3 linked regions of the Danio rerio genome follow. The protein of the gene in region 1 interacts with the protein of each later gene in a biochemical or structural test. Links are inferred from orthologs where the notes say so. Each region holds a gene or a part of one and is shown on either strand. Other genes may lie near its edges. The genes, in order: gnaq, rgs4 and ric8a.

What was found.
Region 2: the proteins of gnaq (region 1) and rgs4 form a complex in vitro, tested with the Homo sapiens proteins (3 studies listed by BioGRID). The link is inferred for Danio rerio from reciprocal best matches to the Homo sapiens genes GNAQ and RGS4.
Region 3: the proteins of gnaq (region 1) and ric8a form a complex in vitro, tested with the Homo sapiens proteins (2 studies listed by BioGRID). The link is inferred for Danio rerio from reciprocal best matches to the Homo sapiens genes GNAQ and RIC8A.

The regions. Positions count from the first base shown.
Region 1 is NC_133180.1:60,900,383-60,904,791, forward strand, and holds the end of gnaq (guanine nucleotide-binding protein G(q) subunit alpha), read right to left. Parts: intron 4,033-4,409; coding exon 3,879-4,032; intron 1,773-3,878; coding exon 1,582-1,772; 3' UTR 1,579-1,581; downstream 1-1,578.
Region 2 is NC_133181.1:37,874,607-37,880,266, forward strand, and holds the start of rgs4 (regulator of G-protein signaling 4), read left to right. Parts: upstream 1-2,267; 5' UTR 2,268-2,654; coding exon 2,655-2,773; intron 2,774-5,660. UniProt on the Homo sapiens protein: Inhibits signal transduction by increasing the GTPase activity of G protein alpha subunits thereby driving them into their inactive GDP-bound form. Activity on G(z)-alpha is inhibited by phosphorylation of the G-protein.
Region 3 is NC_133200.1:11,285,801-11,290,897, forward strand, and holds part of ric8a (chaperone Ric-8A), read left to right. Parts: intron 1-2,029; coding exon 2,030-2,233; intron 2,234-4,699; coding exon 4,700-5,097.

The sequences.
Region 1 (4,409 bases):
TTGTTTTATATATAATAAATTTAAAAATACACATTTTTAAAATATATTATAGATAACATTTTATCATGTATTTGTTGGCAAACTGGCGATCCTCAGCCCATCTTTGCTCCTAAGGGACTAGACTTTTCTTAGATGCTGCATTTGTACCAAATCAAAATTACAATCACTTGTTAACATCACTTGTTTCTAATCACATCATTTAATTTATCTGATTACTAGCCCTAAACTGCTCCTGACCCAACTTTTTTTTGTAAAGAAACAAAAACAAACAAAAAAAAAAAACAAAGAAAAAGAAGTTGACTAGACAAAACATGAAATATTTTGTGTTCATATAGTCTGCAAGTCAAATCAAAGTAAATTTGCAAATTACTTTTTTTTGTTGTTGTTGTTTACTTGATTTTCCATAACATCCCAACCTTTTCTGATTTGAGCTGTGCTTACCAGGAAAAAACATTGAATGTTCAATACCTATTTTACCTGCTTTATAAACTTCATTACTAAGAGCTTTAATTTAAGCCAAAAAAAGCAGCAAGAAGAGGCAACATCGGTTTGGTCCTTTACTCTTGACTGAACACAAAACATTCATTTCTTTGACATACATCAAACCACATGATACTCTTTTTACAAATCCTACTATCTTTAAAAACAACTGCACATACTGACCAAAGCTTGAATTCACTATACTAATCACAGGGTCAAGTCAGTACAAAAAAAGAGCATCATTTGCTCACTGAGACATGTGTTGGGTAATTTATATATAAAAAAAGCAACTGTTGCAGAAAATATCTAAAGGGCACATTTGTAGTTTAAAATAAAAATGACTGCACAGGAATCGGCTCTATTGGCACATCGTTAAGGCTTGATGTTGAACATTGATAATTTTTAATGAATCAGATCATGAACAGCAGTATGGTATAGAAGTAATTGGCAATGGTAGTTTTTAGCATGTGGTGCAATTATACCACATTTATAGCTATTATAGTTTGGCAATAAAACAAACTGCCACATTAGAAGAACTTTGGCACTTTTAATGTATATGCTTATTTAATCTTGATGAGTATTATTCCCCAAAGCATGTTTGGCGAAATGTAAAAAAGACCCTACTCTACTAAGCTTACTCTGAAACTGTAACATGATATTTTCCTTTTAAAAGTCAATGAAGTACTTTTCATTGCTCTTTAATGATCTTACCACACAGAATCTTTAATATACCCAAAATAGAGGATTCTACGTAACATTTATAGCAAGAAGTTTAACGCTTAAAATAAAAGAAAAAACTAATTATAGCTTACTTATTTAATCTTTGATAATATGCGCAATATTTGTTTTCATTAAAGTGATATAACAACATTTAAACTGAACCCCAAAGAGAAGCTCTGAGGTGCAAATAAATAACAGCAGTCAAGAGCAGATTGTGTTACAGTTCTTAAATATAAATAACTTGTGTGTCCAGTTTCATTGAGCAGAATCCGGGAGGAAAGACAGCTCGAACAATAAAAGCAGATTTTAAATGCTCTCTGCATTAACCGATGAGTGCCTTTAACCAGGCAAGATGATGACAAAAACCAGAACTAGCCTCTTTCACACCAGATTGTATTCTTTAAGCGTGAGCTGCAAGATTGTGTCTTTGACAGCAGCAAACACAAATCGAATGTTTTCCGTGTCAGTGGCACATGTGAAATGAGAATAAATGATTTTCTCTGAGTCTGGATTCAGGTCGACAAACATCTTCAGGATGAACTCCCGTGCAGTTTGAGCATCTCTCTGAGGTCCTTAAAGAGGAAAATACATTTTGGTTAACTGCGGTCAAACCTAAAACTGAAATGTAATTCTCATAACCAGACCAGATAGAATCTGCTGATCATTTTAGCTCTTTCTGCACATTATTTTGAAAAAACAAATGCAGAATGATTAAGAGTTGGTGCTCAAAACCTAAATAACTTTTTACAATCAAATACAGTTGAAGTCAGAATTATTAGCCTCCCTTTTATTTTATTTTTAAAATATTTGCCAAATGATTTTTAACAGAGCAAGGACATTTTCACAATATGTCTGATACTAGTTTTTCTTCAGGAGAAAGTCTTGATTGTTTTATTTAGCTAGAATAAAAGCAGTTTTTAATTTTTTAATAAACATATAAGGTCATAAATGTTTAGCCCCTTAAGGCTTTTTTTTTTCTTTGATTATCTGCAGGACAAACCATTGACATACAAAATTTAATTACCCTAATCTGCCTAGTTAACGCATGCAGATTCCTTGTGGGCCTATAACCCCTTATTCCAAAACATAAACAGGGTTTCTGCAGATTTCATCAAGCTAAATTTAAGACATTTTAAGATTATTATGAACAAAATTTTAAACTTACATAGAGCTAAATTATAAGGATTTTTTTAATATGCCTGTCAGAAAAGATTTTCAGTTGCCCTACCAAAATATTTTTTGAAATTTAATACATTTAATAACACAGTAATAATAATTTTGTTTGAATATTGATTCATTCATTTTATTTTCTTGTTACTTTTATTGTAATATGAGGTTGCCACAGCTGAATGAACTGCCAAATTATCCAGCATATGTTTTACTTAGCGAATGCCCTTCCAGCCGCAACCCATCACTGGGAAACATTCACACACAAACTCATACACTACGATCAATTTAGCTTACCCAATTCACCTATAGCACATGTCTTTGGACTTGTGGGGGAAACTGGAGCAAACCCACGCTAACATGGGGAGAACATGCAAACTCCACACTGAAATGCCAATTGACCCAGCCGAGGCTTGAACCAGTGACCTTCTTGCTGTGAGGCGATTGTGCCATCCACTGCGCCACTGTGATGCCTTTGTTTGAATATTTTAAAATAAATTTTCAAATATATCCATTCACAAACCCTATAACCCTTACCAAGAATAGAACAAAACAAAGCTGCCTATTACTTCAGTCCACAATAATAATAGTTTAATAATAACATATATAGGTCAGCATTCTCAGCAGTATATAAATTATATTTTTAAATAAAATGTGGTTGATTGTATAGGTGTTAATGGTCAGATTGGGTAGCCGTACATGATCAAAGAAAAATTAATACCTGTTGAAAAAGATTTAGGACCTACAACACAAAATTTCAGTGAATGTAAAATTTTTTAAGGGCCTTAAATTTAGTTTTTGAGATTTTCAACATTTTAAGACTTTTTAAGACCCCGTGGATACCCTGATGAATATATTAGTGTATATTTATAAGACAGTTTTGAGCTAAAAACATAAAATAGTTTAAGCATGTTGTCTGTTCAATAACAACAAAAACGTTTGAAATTGATACCATTATTGACCTCATTCTTGAATGCGGAAGTGTGCTCATTTTTGTGATTGTTTTAGAACTTCCGATTCAGTCGCCTATGGGAGAAATGACTAGGGACAATAAACAGCGGACAGCGGTCAAACTACTTGCTCTACAAACAAGCTTTTGCATGACTATACAGACCAAGTAGAATAATATAATAAGAAAATATAAGTTTGCAACATTAAGTAGCATAACAAGCTGTTTTTAATGTCTAAAAATGATTATTTTAGAATTTTAAAAAGTGAAATCATCAAATACTAGTCTAAACAGCAAATTATAGTTGGGTATTTTGTTGATCTGGGTAAACAGGATTCATTTTGAGGATGGGATTTTAAAGCATTTCTCTTATATATATATTACCAATGGGAAAATGGCTTAAGTCATGCAAGTCAGGAGTACTAATAAAATGTAACACTGTAAATCAATTCATTTGCTAAGCATTAGCAAATCAGTCTAATAGCTGTAATCAGTGTATCACAATTTTCATAGTTTTTAATTTGTCCTAAAATCTGATGGAACTCTGTGTTTTTAAACTTACCATCATATTCGGGAAAGTAATCTACAAGATGTGAAAACATTATTTTCTCTTCCAAAAGGTCTTTCTTGTTCAGAAAAAGAATAACAGATGAATTCTGAAACCAGGGGTATGTTATTATCGTCCTAAACAATGCTTTGCTTTCCTCCATTCGATTCTGTAGGGGAAAATAACATAACAAGCCCATTTCAGTGGTTATTTTTATACAGCTTTAGTCCAGAAATCAACACTAACTGAATGTTCGCTGCTTTTGACAATTTCAGAGAAAAAAATAAAGTGCTTTCTTTCAAACATTGCTAAAATGAGCACAGATTCTCATTTAAGGTTCAGAATGAAAACATATTTTGTTCTCAATTGGTCATGTGATCACATGAACACCGAGGCAGCATTGCACACCACAAACCAAATGCATTTTTTTTTTAAGTATAATTTTTCTGGTGTTACAAATGCATGTTGCTTAACGCACAGTGTATTTTAAGAGTAATATTTAGTATTGGTTTGGAAAGTAAAAAAAATAAATAAATAATTGTTATG
Region 2 (5,660 bases), on another chromosome or scaffold:
TTCTTTGTTTGTATATTCGTTTGCTTGGTTGCTGTTTTTTCATCATTTTAAATACAGTTTTTGTTCTTTCTTTCTTTCTTTCTTTCTTTCATTCTTTCTTTCGTTTGTTTTGTGCCAATATTCATTCATCTTTACATTTTTTTTTTCATTCAAATAATATTTGGTTGACTTTTTATAATATTTATTACTATTATTATTACTTTTTTACTCTTAAGTCTTTGAATTAAGGCTTTCAGGTAAATATTTCAGGTAAATATATATATATCTTGACAGCAGTCAGACTCTCACTTTTTTTACGCAACACATGTAACATCTTTGCTGTACAACCTTGATAGCCTAAAATACCCAGGCTGATGACCCGAGGCAACGGATGTGTTTTTGACATTTCCAACATGATAGTGGCAGTGACGTCATCCTTGGGTTTCACGATGTAAGTGAACATGTTCCAACACTCCTCCTTGTGTCCAGAGTTTTCTAGTCTCTCTCCCACAGCCAAAACTTTAGGACAGCAGATCCCCTACAGACCCCGGCTGCGGGTCAGTAAACCACTGCCAAATACTTTTCTTCTATATGCAACATGAGACACGTACAGTAGCTGCAGCACTTCTCTTATATAACTGGATCAAATTGTTTTTTTTTTTTGCATGGTTGGAGAGTAAAATGACCAATAAGATAACAGCAGAAAAATTAACCACTATTATTATATTTTCTCAGTTGATAGATTAAAAATTGCATGTTTTGAATATATAAAAAGATTGTAAAATGTGATGTTCAAATATAAAAACTATTTAATTTATTTTATTCAATCATTGTTTTATTAAGTATACATACACTAATCTGCAGAGATTTATAGCATAAAAATCAGAATATTGGATAAAGCTCTTTAAATTTTTTGCTTTGTTAAAGTCAAATGTTACTTTGACTTGTATTTCACCGCAAACAATGAAAGAGCATCTTTTTTTTACAAATTTTCAAAAATAAACACATATTCCAATTTTGATTTTTGTGACATAAAAAAATGGAACAGTAAAGCATTTGCCAGTTTGTAATTTGCGCTTCAAAATGCACCACACATTATGTATTGAAGACAGGCCAGTCAAGTACCTGTATCCTCTTCTTCTGAAACCTAGACTTGGTAATGTGTGCAGAATGTAGTTTTGCATTGAAAAATGCATAGGCGTCCCTGAAAAAGAAGGCAGCATATTGTGCTCCAAAATCGCTATGTATTAACAGTGCTTCTGGACCCTGTTAACATTCCTTTTGACACAGTACAATTTTAAGAGGCCTTTGTGGATGTTCTGTGGTACTTATGACAAAAATTTGCCAAAGTAGTTCTGAGCCCATGTGGGGATATCACTTATATGAATGAGGATTCTTGATGCAGTGCTGCCTGTGGGATCATGCTTGTTCATCTTAGGCCTGTGGCCTTGTTCTTTGCGCACTAAAATGTCTCTAGATTCCTTGAATCTTTTAATTATGCTATGTACTGATGAAGGTGAAACATCAAAAAGTCTTCCTCTCTTTCTTTAAGAAACATTATTTTTAAACATTCCAATAATTTTCTCACGTATTTGTAGGCAAAAGGACTAGACCTTTCTTGGATGCAGTCAAATTGCTCCTGTCCAAACTTGTGTGTTGCATGTCTGAATGGCAGGAAATAATGCATATTTACTAATGAAATTAAGTTGACCAGACAAAACATGAAATATTTAGTAGTTTTGCATTTGCATAGTGTCTGTATTGAAATACAGGTCAAAGTAAATCTAGAAATCCATTCATTCATTCATTTTCTTGTCGGCTTAAGCCTGGTTTATACTTCTGCTTCAAGTGACCGGCGTAACTCACGGCGCAGGCAACGTGCGCAGCTGTGCATTTATACTTCTGCGCGCTGTCTCTGTTGGTCTGCATTAACACTTCCGGAACGCTAGTTGGCAGTGAGGTGTAAATGTTCCTCTGTGTCGAGTTTCTTCGCTTCTGTTTTGCTTTTCCTGAACACTTCCTGGTTGTACAAGTGACTCAAACTCGTTCATTTTGAGGCAGGAACCGGCGGACGTGCAACAACTTTAACTATGAGGTAAACACAAAACAAAACTTTCCATCCAGAGCTCCTTCTCGGGACTCCACACTTGTAAACAATCGCTCGCGCCATTCACGCGGTGCTCGGTCCCGCCCAGACTCTTCATCGCTACCAAGCCGACCAATCACAGAGCTTGCGCTACGCGTCGTTGCGACGTGTAGTTACCAAGCGGCAACCTCCCGCTCTCCCTGTACCAATACGGAAGTAACTAAAACTGCAATTCATGCGAAATTCCGCTAGTCCTGGCCGCTCCTGGCTCCAAAACAGAGCAAATTTCAATTGAGCCCACTGTTAGAATGGCCAACTTTACAGCAGAAAAAAAGGTGTTTACAGCCTGGTACAAAAAATGATTTTGGTTAATACAGGTAATATCACCCTTCATGACAACTGTTAGGGGGTGAATTTTTTTTATAACTCATCCGTTTCTTTTATATTAAGTTATATTAAGTTTGCATAATTAAGGGCGTGGCCACTTGATTGACAGCTAGGTCTCGCTGGTCGCCGTCACGTCACCTCAGCTGAATCCTGCAGATTAGCCACTGAACTCGGCATATTTATCGTATTTCTGTGTTGTTTTATGTGGCTTTACACAGTCAACTGCCTTTTGGACTTGTTTCCCACAATTATTAGATGGCATGGCATGCTGAGGGCACTTAATTGTGCTCACAAACCATTCACGTGGCCTCCGTTTCCCATGTGAGTAAAGTTATATACTTATATACCATCTCTGTACATGTATTTGTTTTATTTAAGATCATTTATCGTTTATATTTATATTTAGAGCTGTAATGCACTCCAGAATCTGTCAGATTGATTAGCTGTAGGCTCTAGAACAGTCATCTGAAGCGTTGTCATACAGTGTTATGCTGGATTTCATCAATAGTCTTACATTTACTAACACAGACTATATCTGAAGTGTTTGGAAGTAATTCGCGTTTTCCTCCTGTTGAAAAACGTCATAAGAACAATGTTTAGTGGCTCAATGTATTACAGCCGTGTTTTTAAAAGTCTAAACACTTTATTGATATAGTGTACAACCAAGCACAAGTGGTCAGAATACAAACGAGCAGGTGTCTGTAGCTCCGCTCACTCTCCGCCTCTTTGCCCTTGTTTGGTATCCCGCCGTGGGTGTGATGACGCGTGACCAAAATGGCGACGGTTGGCCGCGCCTACTTGTGGCTTCTTTTGCGCTCTTCAGAAACCTATGGGTGACGTCACGGATACTACGTCCATATATTTTACAGTCTATGGTAGTTACATTTTTTGAGAGGTGCACGTTAGTGACGCCGACGGCCACGGCGAAGGGCTATGCATCAGCGCTGTAGCATACGCCGGCGTTTGACGCAGAAGTATAAATCAGCCTTTAGTCCCTTTATTAATCCGGGGTCGCCACAGCGGAATGAACCGCCAACTTATCCAGCACATTTTTACGCAGCGGATGCCCTTCCAGCCGCAACCCGTCTCTGGGAAACACACACACACACACATACACACACACACACACACACACACACACACACACACACACACTACGGACAATTTAGCCTACCCAATTCACCTGTACTGCATGTCTTTGGACTGTGGGGGAAACTGGAGCACCCGAAGGAAACCCACGCGAATGCAGGGAGAACATGCAAACTCCACACAGAAATGCCAACTGACCCAGCAGAGGCTTGAACCTGTGACCCAGCAACCTGCTTGCTGTGAGGCGACAGCACTACCTACTGCTCCCTTGCGTTGCCAATTTAAAAATCACTACTTTCTTTTTACTTGCATTTTCCATACTGTCCCAACTATTTCTGATTTTGGGTTTTATATATATATATACAGTTGAAGTAAGTACAGTTGAAACTGCTTTTATTCTAGCCGAAATAAAACAAATAAGACTTTCTCCAGAAGAAAAAAATATTATCAGACATACTGTGAAAATGTCCTTGCTCTGTTGAACGTCATTTGGGAAATATTTAAAAAAAGCAAAGAAATTCAAAGGGGGCTAATAATTCTGACTTTAACTATATATATAATTACAATATTTATTGTAATTAATATAGGCAGCAAAGAAAAAAACACTTACAGTAAATGTGAAAAAGCATTTTATACAAGTAAAAATTGTTTGTATTAAAAAACAAATCTAAAATATGGGCCTTCTCAATTTGGAGCAGCTTTGAACTTGGCATTATACAAATGTATAGTCAAAAAATTACTCTGTATATTCTATGCATTATGTAAATAAGCACATGCATGTTTAGATTCGTGAAAACACACACACACACAAACACACACACACACACACACACACACACACACACTCACACACACATACACACACACGCACACATACACACACACGTGCACACACACACACACACAAGCACAAACACACACTCAAGCTTATTATTTGTATCTCGCATAGAATTTTCAGGAAGACACCAGCTATAATAACAGACACATATAACAAAGTAGAAAAGAGGTCATTCTGGTCCCAATATCATTCACTATCTGATGCATTTGCTGCAATTTCAATTCACTCAGGCTAATAGCACAGACAAGCCATTCCCTGAAAAGACTGCAATACAATGAAACAGAAGGAAAGCGACTGTCAGGAGCCTGAAAGATGATGCACTAAATCACAGCACACAGCACATCTGATCACTGCAAACCAATAGAAGAACCCACACCTCTGTAACCTAGAAATGGACAGATCCATCTTGTTGTTGAAAAACAATTTACATTTGAAACAAAAGTTAATATTTACATAATATATTTGTGTGTGTGGTGAGTATTTTTAAACTTTATGAATACAAACATAAAAATCTAAAATATACAAACAAAAATTGTGACATATTATATTATTACATGCACACTACATGGTATTCAATAACATATTTTATTTACAAATATACCATACCATACCATACTACTATGGGGCGACACTGTGGCTCAGTGGTGAGCACTGTCACCTCACAGCAAGCAGGTCACTGGATCGAGTCCCGACTGGGTCAGTTGGCATTTCTGTGTGGAGTTTGCATGCTCACCCCGTATTGACATGGGTTTCATCTGGGTGCTACGGTTTCCCCCAGAGTTCAAAGACATGCGCTATAGGTGAGTTGGCTGTAGTGTATGTGTGTGAGTGTGTATGGATGTTTCCCAGTACTGGGTTGCGGCTGGAAGGGCATCCATTGCCCAATACAAATGCTGAATAGGTTGTTGGTTCATTCTGTTTCGGCGACCCCTGATGAATAAAGGGACTAAGCCAAAAGAAAATTAATAAACAAATAATACTATGCACCACGACTTTTTATTATTTAAGTTTATGCAATTTCTTTCATACACAAATCTAAAAATGCATATTGGTGACGTTTTTATAGCTATTATATCAAAGATAATAACAGACTATTGTTACTTCAAATGTATACCTAAGCTGCACTCTGATTCTGTGGTTCTTATGTGAACTAATACATATTTGAAATGAATTTTAATTTGTTTCCTGATGTATAATATTATCTCCAAATATTTTCATTTTTTTTATTTTATAAATATTATATACATATTTGTTGGCATTTAGACTTAAAAAAAACATGCT
Region 3 (5,097 bases), on another chromosome or scaffold:
TATACTTGTTTAAATGTTTATTAGATAGCTGAAATTCATTGTTCATAAGTAATTATTTACAACTAATATGTATTTAATAGCATTTTTAGAAAAGTAGTTTAATGGATTTTTGTCTATGACATTTTCTTCAGGCTTCAGTTTGAAAGCTGCGTAGGCAAGTTTCCATTCATTTGTACTAAAATTGTACAATATTTTGTAAATGTTAATTAAAAAGTACTAGTGCCATTTTCATTAACCAAGTGTTATGCGACTAAAACCCGTTTCTATCAATAAGTTTTTCTTAATCACCAAAATTTTATTGTATTAATCTTTTTTATGATTATCTATTTTTTATAAAATAAAATAATAGTTTTTTAAGTTTTATTTAATATTTACAATGCTTATCCAATTATTAAAACAAAAGCAAGTCTCGTATAATATATTTACTAAAAGACAGAAAATATTACTTTACAAACCGTATTGTAAATAAATCAAATGAACATTTTCATATTAGTCAATAATATTTCTAAAATTTATTTAAAAACTAAATAAATATAAATTTAAACACATTTACACAATAAAATAAATACTCAATAATGTGCTAATAATAAACAGACTCAATGATGGGTTAACAATAAATAGACTCAATGATGGGTTAATAATAAATAGACTCAATGATGGGCTTATAATAAATAGACTTAATGATGGGCTAATAATAAATAGACTCAATAGACTCAATGATGGGCTTAAAATAAACAGACTCAATGATGGGTTAACAATAAATAGACTCAATGATGGGCTAATAATAAATAGACTCAATTGTGGGCTAATAATAAATAGACTCAATAATGGGCTAATAATAAATAGACTCAATTGTGGAATAATGATAAATAGACTTAATAATGGGCTTATAATAAATAGACTCAATGGTGGGATAATGATAAATAGACCCCGTAATGGGCTAATAATAAATAGACTCAATAATGGGATAATAAAAAATAGACTCATTAATGGGTTAATAATAAATACACTCAATAATCAGCTAATAATAAAGAGATTCAATAATGGGCTAATAATAAATAGACTCAATAATGGGCTAATAATAAATACACTCAATAATGGGCTAATAATAAATAGACTCAATGATGGGCTAATAATAAATAGACTTAATGATGGGCTAATAATAAATAGACTCAGTGATGGGCTAATAATAAATAGACTTAATAATGGGCTAATTATAAATAGACTCAATAATGATCTAATAATAAATAGACTCAATGATGGGCTAATAATAAAAAGACTTAATGATGGGCTAATAATAAATAGACTCAATGATGGGCTAATAATAAATAGACTCAATGATGGGCTAATAATAAATAGACTCAATGATGGGCTAATAATAAATAGACTCAATGATGGACTAATAGTAAATAGACTTAATGATGGGCTAATAATAAATAGACTCAATGATGGGCTAATAATAAATAGACTCAATGATGGGCTAATAATAAATAGATCAATGATGGGCTAATAATAAATACACTCAATAATAGGCTAATAATAAATAGACTCAATAATGTGCTTATAATAAATAGATTCAATAATGGGCTAATAATAAATAGACTCAATAATGGGCTAATAATAAATAGACTCAATAATGGGCTTATAATAAATAGATTCAATAATGGGCTAATAATAAATAGACTTAATAATGGGCTAATAATAAATAGACTCAGTAATGGGCTAATAATAAATAGACTTAATGATGGGCAAATAATAAATAGACTCAATAATGGGCTAATAATAAATAGACTCAATGATGGGCAAATAATAAATAGACTCAATGATGGGCTAAAAATCTGCGGATTTCTGTGCGCACAGATTTCATGTGGGCCTAGTCATCCTTAAGTAGTAAAAGTTTGCTGAACATATATGCCGCTAAGCAATTTTCATAAGGTGCATTGAAACAAAAGCAGTGGAGAAATGCAGGCATGTAAACCAATAGTAGATGGTTTCCACCATATTACTCTCTTGTTTTCTCATTTCTCAGCGTCTGGGTGAGTTAGTGTTAAGCTTTTTGGAGAGAGACCTCCAGCCATCCTGCCAGCTGGCCTGCCTAGAGACCATCCGCATCCTGTCCCGGGACAAGAAGAGCCTGTCTCCGTTCGCCACCCGCCATGCTATGCAGATCCTGATTCGACATGCAGGGCTTGGGCAGGGAGAGGGCGTCACCCCAGAGATCCCAGATTTAGAGGTAAGGGTATGCTATAATGTCGATATTTGATCATGAATGATTAAAATGCCGCTATGACTTTATCAGAAAATATTGTTATATTGCGCAACAGTGCATTTTCAATCAGTTGCATATGACTTTCACCATAATTAAATCATTCATTGCTTCTGATTTACTTTTATTTGTCATAAAAGATTGGTACAATTTTTTGTTAAAGTCTGTGTGAAATCAAAATGGGCATGTTTATTTTGCTAGCGCACATTGTTATTCTTTAAGTGAATAATTGATCCGTGCAGGTTAATCAACTAAAAAATGTATTGGTGATCTTCAATCAAAGTATGAGCATTATCTTTTGCATTTGGAGTGGCGGTCCATCTGTGATGATGTAAGTTTGATGTCTTCAGGCACAATATTCTTTTTTTTATTTAATTTTTTTATTGATTGAACAGGGGAGTACAGAATTATACATAAATCAGTATGCAATGGAATTAACAACAAAAAATTATCATGTACGTTTAGTATTTTTTCCAGCAGCTTGGATGTCTTAATAGCTTTGGTATTACTCTGTATATAAGTAAGGGAATCATACTTTTTTTTTTTTTTTTCCCTCTCTTTTGCCGGTGAGATAAATTTCGCAAGCACAGACTCTAGTTTGACTGCGGCTTAAGTAAGTCTCAAGTCTTAACCAGGGATGGAGCTAGGGGGGTAGCCATGGCAACCATCAACATAATCATGGCCACTCCATTGGCCACCCCACTCGTAATAACCCAAACACCACCCCCACCCGCTTATCTTTCATTCGTGAGATGAATTTGGCAAGCACAAACTAGTGTGGCTGCGGCTTAAGTAAGTCTCGAGTCTTAACCAGGGATGGAGCTAGGGGGGTAGCCATGGCCACCATCAACATAATCATGGCCACTCCATTGGCCACCCCACTCGTAATAACCCAAACACCACCCCCACCTGCTTATCTTTTATTTGTGAGATGAATTTCGCAAACACAAACTCTAGTGTGGCCGCGGCTTAAGTGAGTCTCAAGTCTTAACCAGGGACAGAACTAGGGGGGTAGCTACAGACACAATCAACATAATCATGGCCATCACATTGCCCACCCCACTTATAATAACCCAAACACCACCCCCACTCGCTTATCTTTCATTCGTGAGATGAATTTGGCAAGCACAAACTAGTGTGGCTGCGGCTTAAGTAAGTCTCGAGTCTTAACCAGGGATGGAGCTAGAGGGGTAGCCATGACCATCATCAACATAATCATAACCACCACATTGGCCACCCCACTCATAATAACCCAAACACCACCCCCACCCGCTTATCTTTTATTCGTGAGATGAATTTCGCAAGCACAGACTCTAGTGTTACTGCGGCTTAAGTAAGTCTCAAGTCTTAACCAGGGATGAAGCTAGGGGTGTAGCCATGATCATCATCAACATAATCATGGCCACCCCAATCGTATTAACCCAAACACCACCCCGCCTGCTTATCTTTTATTTGTGAGATGAATTTCGCAAACACAAACTCTAGTGTGGCTGCGGCTTAAGTAAGTCCTAAGTCTCAACCAGGGACGGAGCTAGGGGGGTAGCCCTAACCACCATCAACATAATCATGGCCACCCCACTTGTAATAACCCAAACACCACCCCCTACCGCTTATCTTTTGCCGGTGAGATAAATTTCGCAAGCACAGACTCTAGTGTGACTGTGGCTTATCTAAGTCTCAAGTCTTAACCGGGGACGGCGCTAGGGGGGTAGCCATGGCCACGATCAACATAATCATGGCCACCCCATTGGCCCCCAATAACCTAGCCCCACCCCCGCTTATCTTTCGTCCGCGAGAAGAACTCAAACACTGAGTTCACCTCAATTGGATCGTAGCTCGGATTCAACTGTGCGATTCCTTCGTGAGGGGTGAGTAAAATTTCAAGCAATCCCATTACCGATCAGGAGGGTTTAATTGCCTCTCAGTTCTCCCTGTACACTGCAAAAACCAACAAAGGCTCATTCTGAAAACGTAGCCCTATATACATTTCTGGAGAACGTGAGTTATGTTGCCAGAAGTATGTAGGTGGACTTTAGATGCAGAGAGGAGAGGACTGATTGGTTGGATTTAAGGAAGGAGGGTGGGTTAGTTGATTGGTCAGTCAGTCAGTCAGTCGACAGCGGCCTCTGGTGGATTTACGAGAGAAGAGCAGGCGCAAATGACACTCAGGAGTGAAATTTGAGATCTCAAAAAGCGTACAAAGCAGCCTCTCATGAATTTGCAAAAACAAAAACCGCCAAAAATTTACCTCCTATTACCCCCTATTTGACGGTCCACAGAAATGTATATAGCGGTACGATAAACAACGAAGCTGAAATTCGGCTCAATTAAAAGAAGAGTCACGTGATTAAAAGCAAACCCAACACCTGCAAAAATAAATATAAAAAAATACATTTGTAATATGATATTTTTTCTTCCAAATGGCCCACTTAGGTGATCGTGGAGGCTCTGAAGTGCTTATGCAACATCGTGTTTAACAGCGAAGCAGCGCAGGAGGCCGCAGCTGACCTGCAGTTGATGGTGGGTTTAGCAGAGCGGCTGAAACAGTGCCGGGAACCACAGTGGAACCATGACGTGCGTTTCTTCGATCTGCGCCTTACGTTCCTGATCACCGCCCTGCGTGTGGACGTGCGGGCTCAGCTGGCACACGAGCTGCGCGGGGTCAGTCTGCTGTCCGAGGCTTTGGACGCCACCTTTGGACTCTGCTGGCCGGACATGTATGAGGTGGCGCGGGCTGGGTTCGACGGCTGCTCAGAGCTGCCCCCGCTGGGCAGACAAGAGACCGAGAGAGTCATGGAGATCCTCAAGATCCTCTTCAATGTTACGTTTGA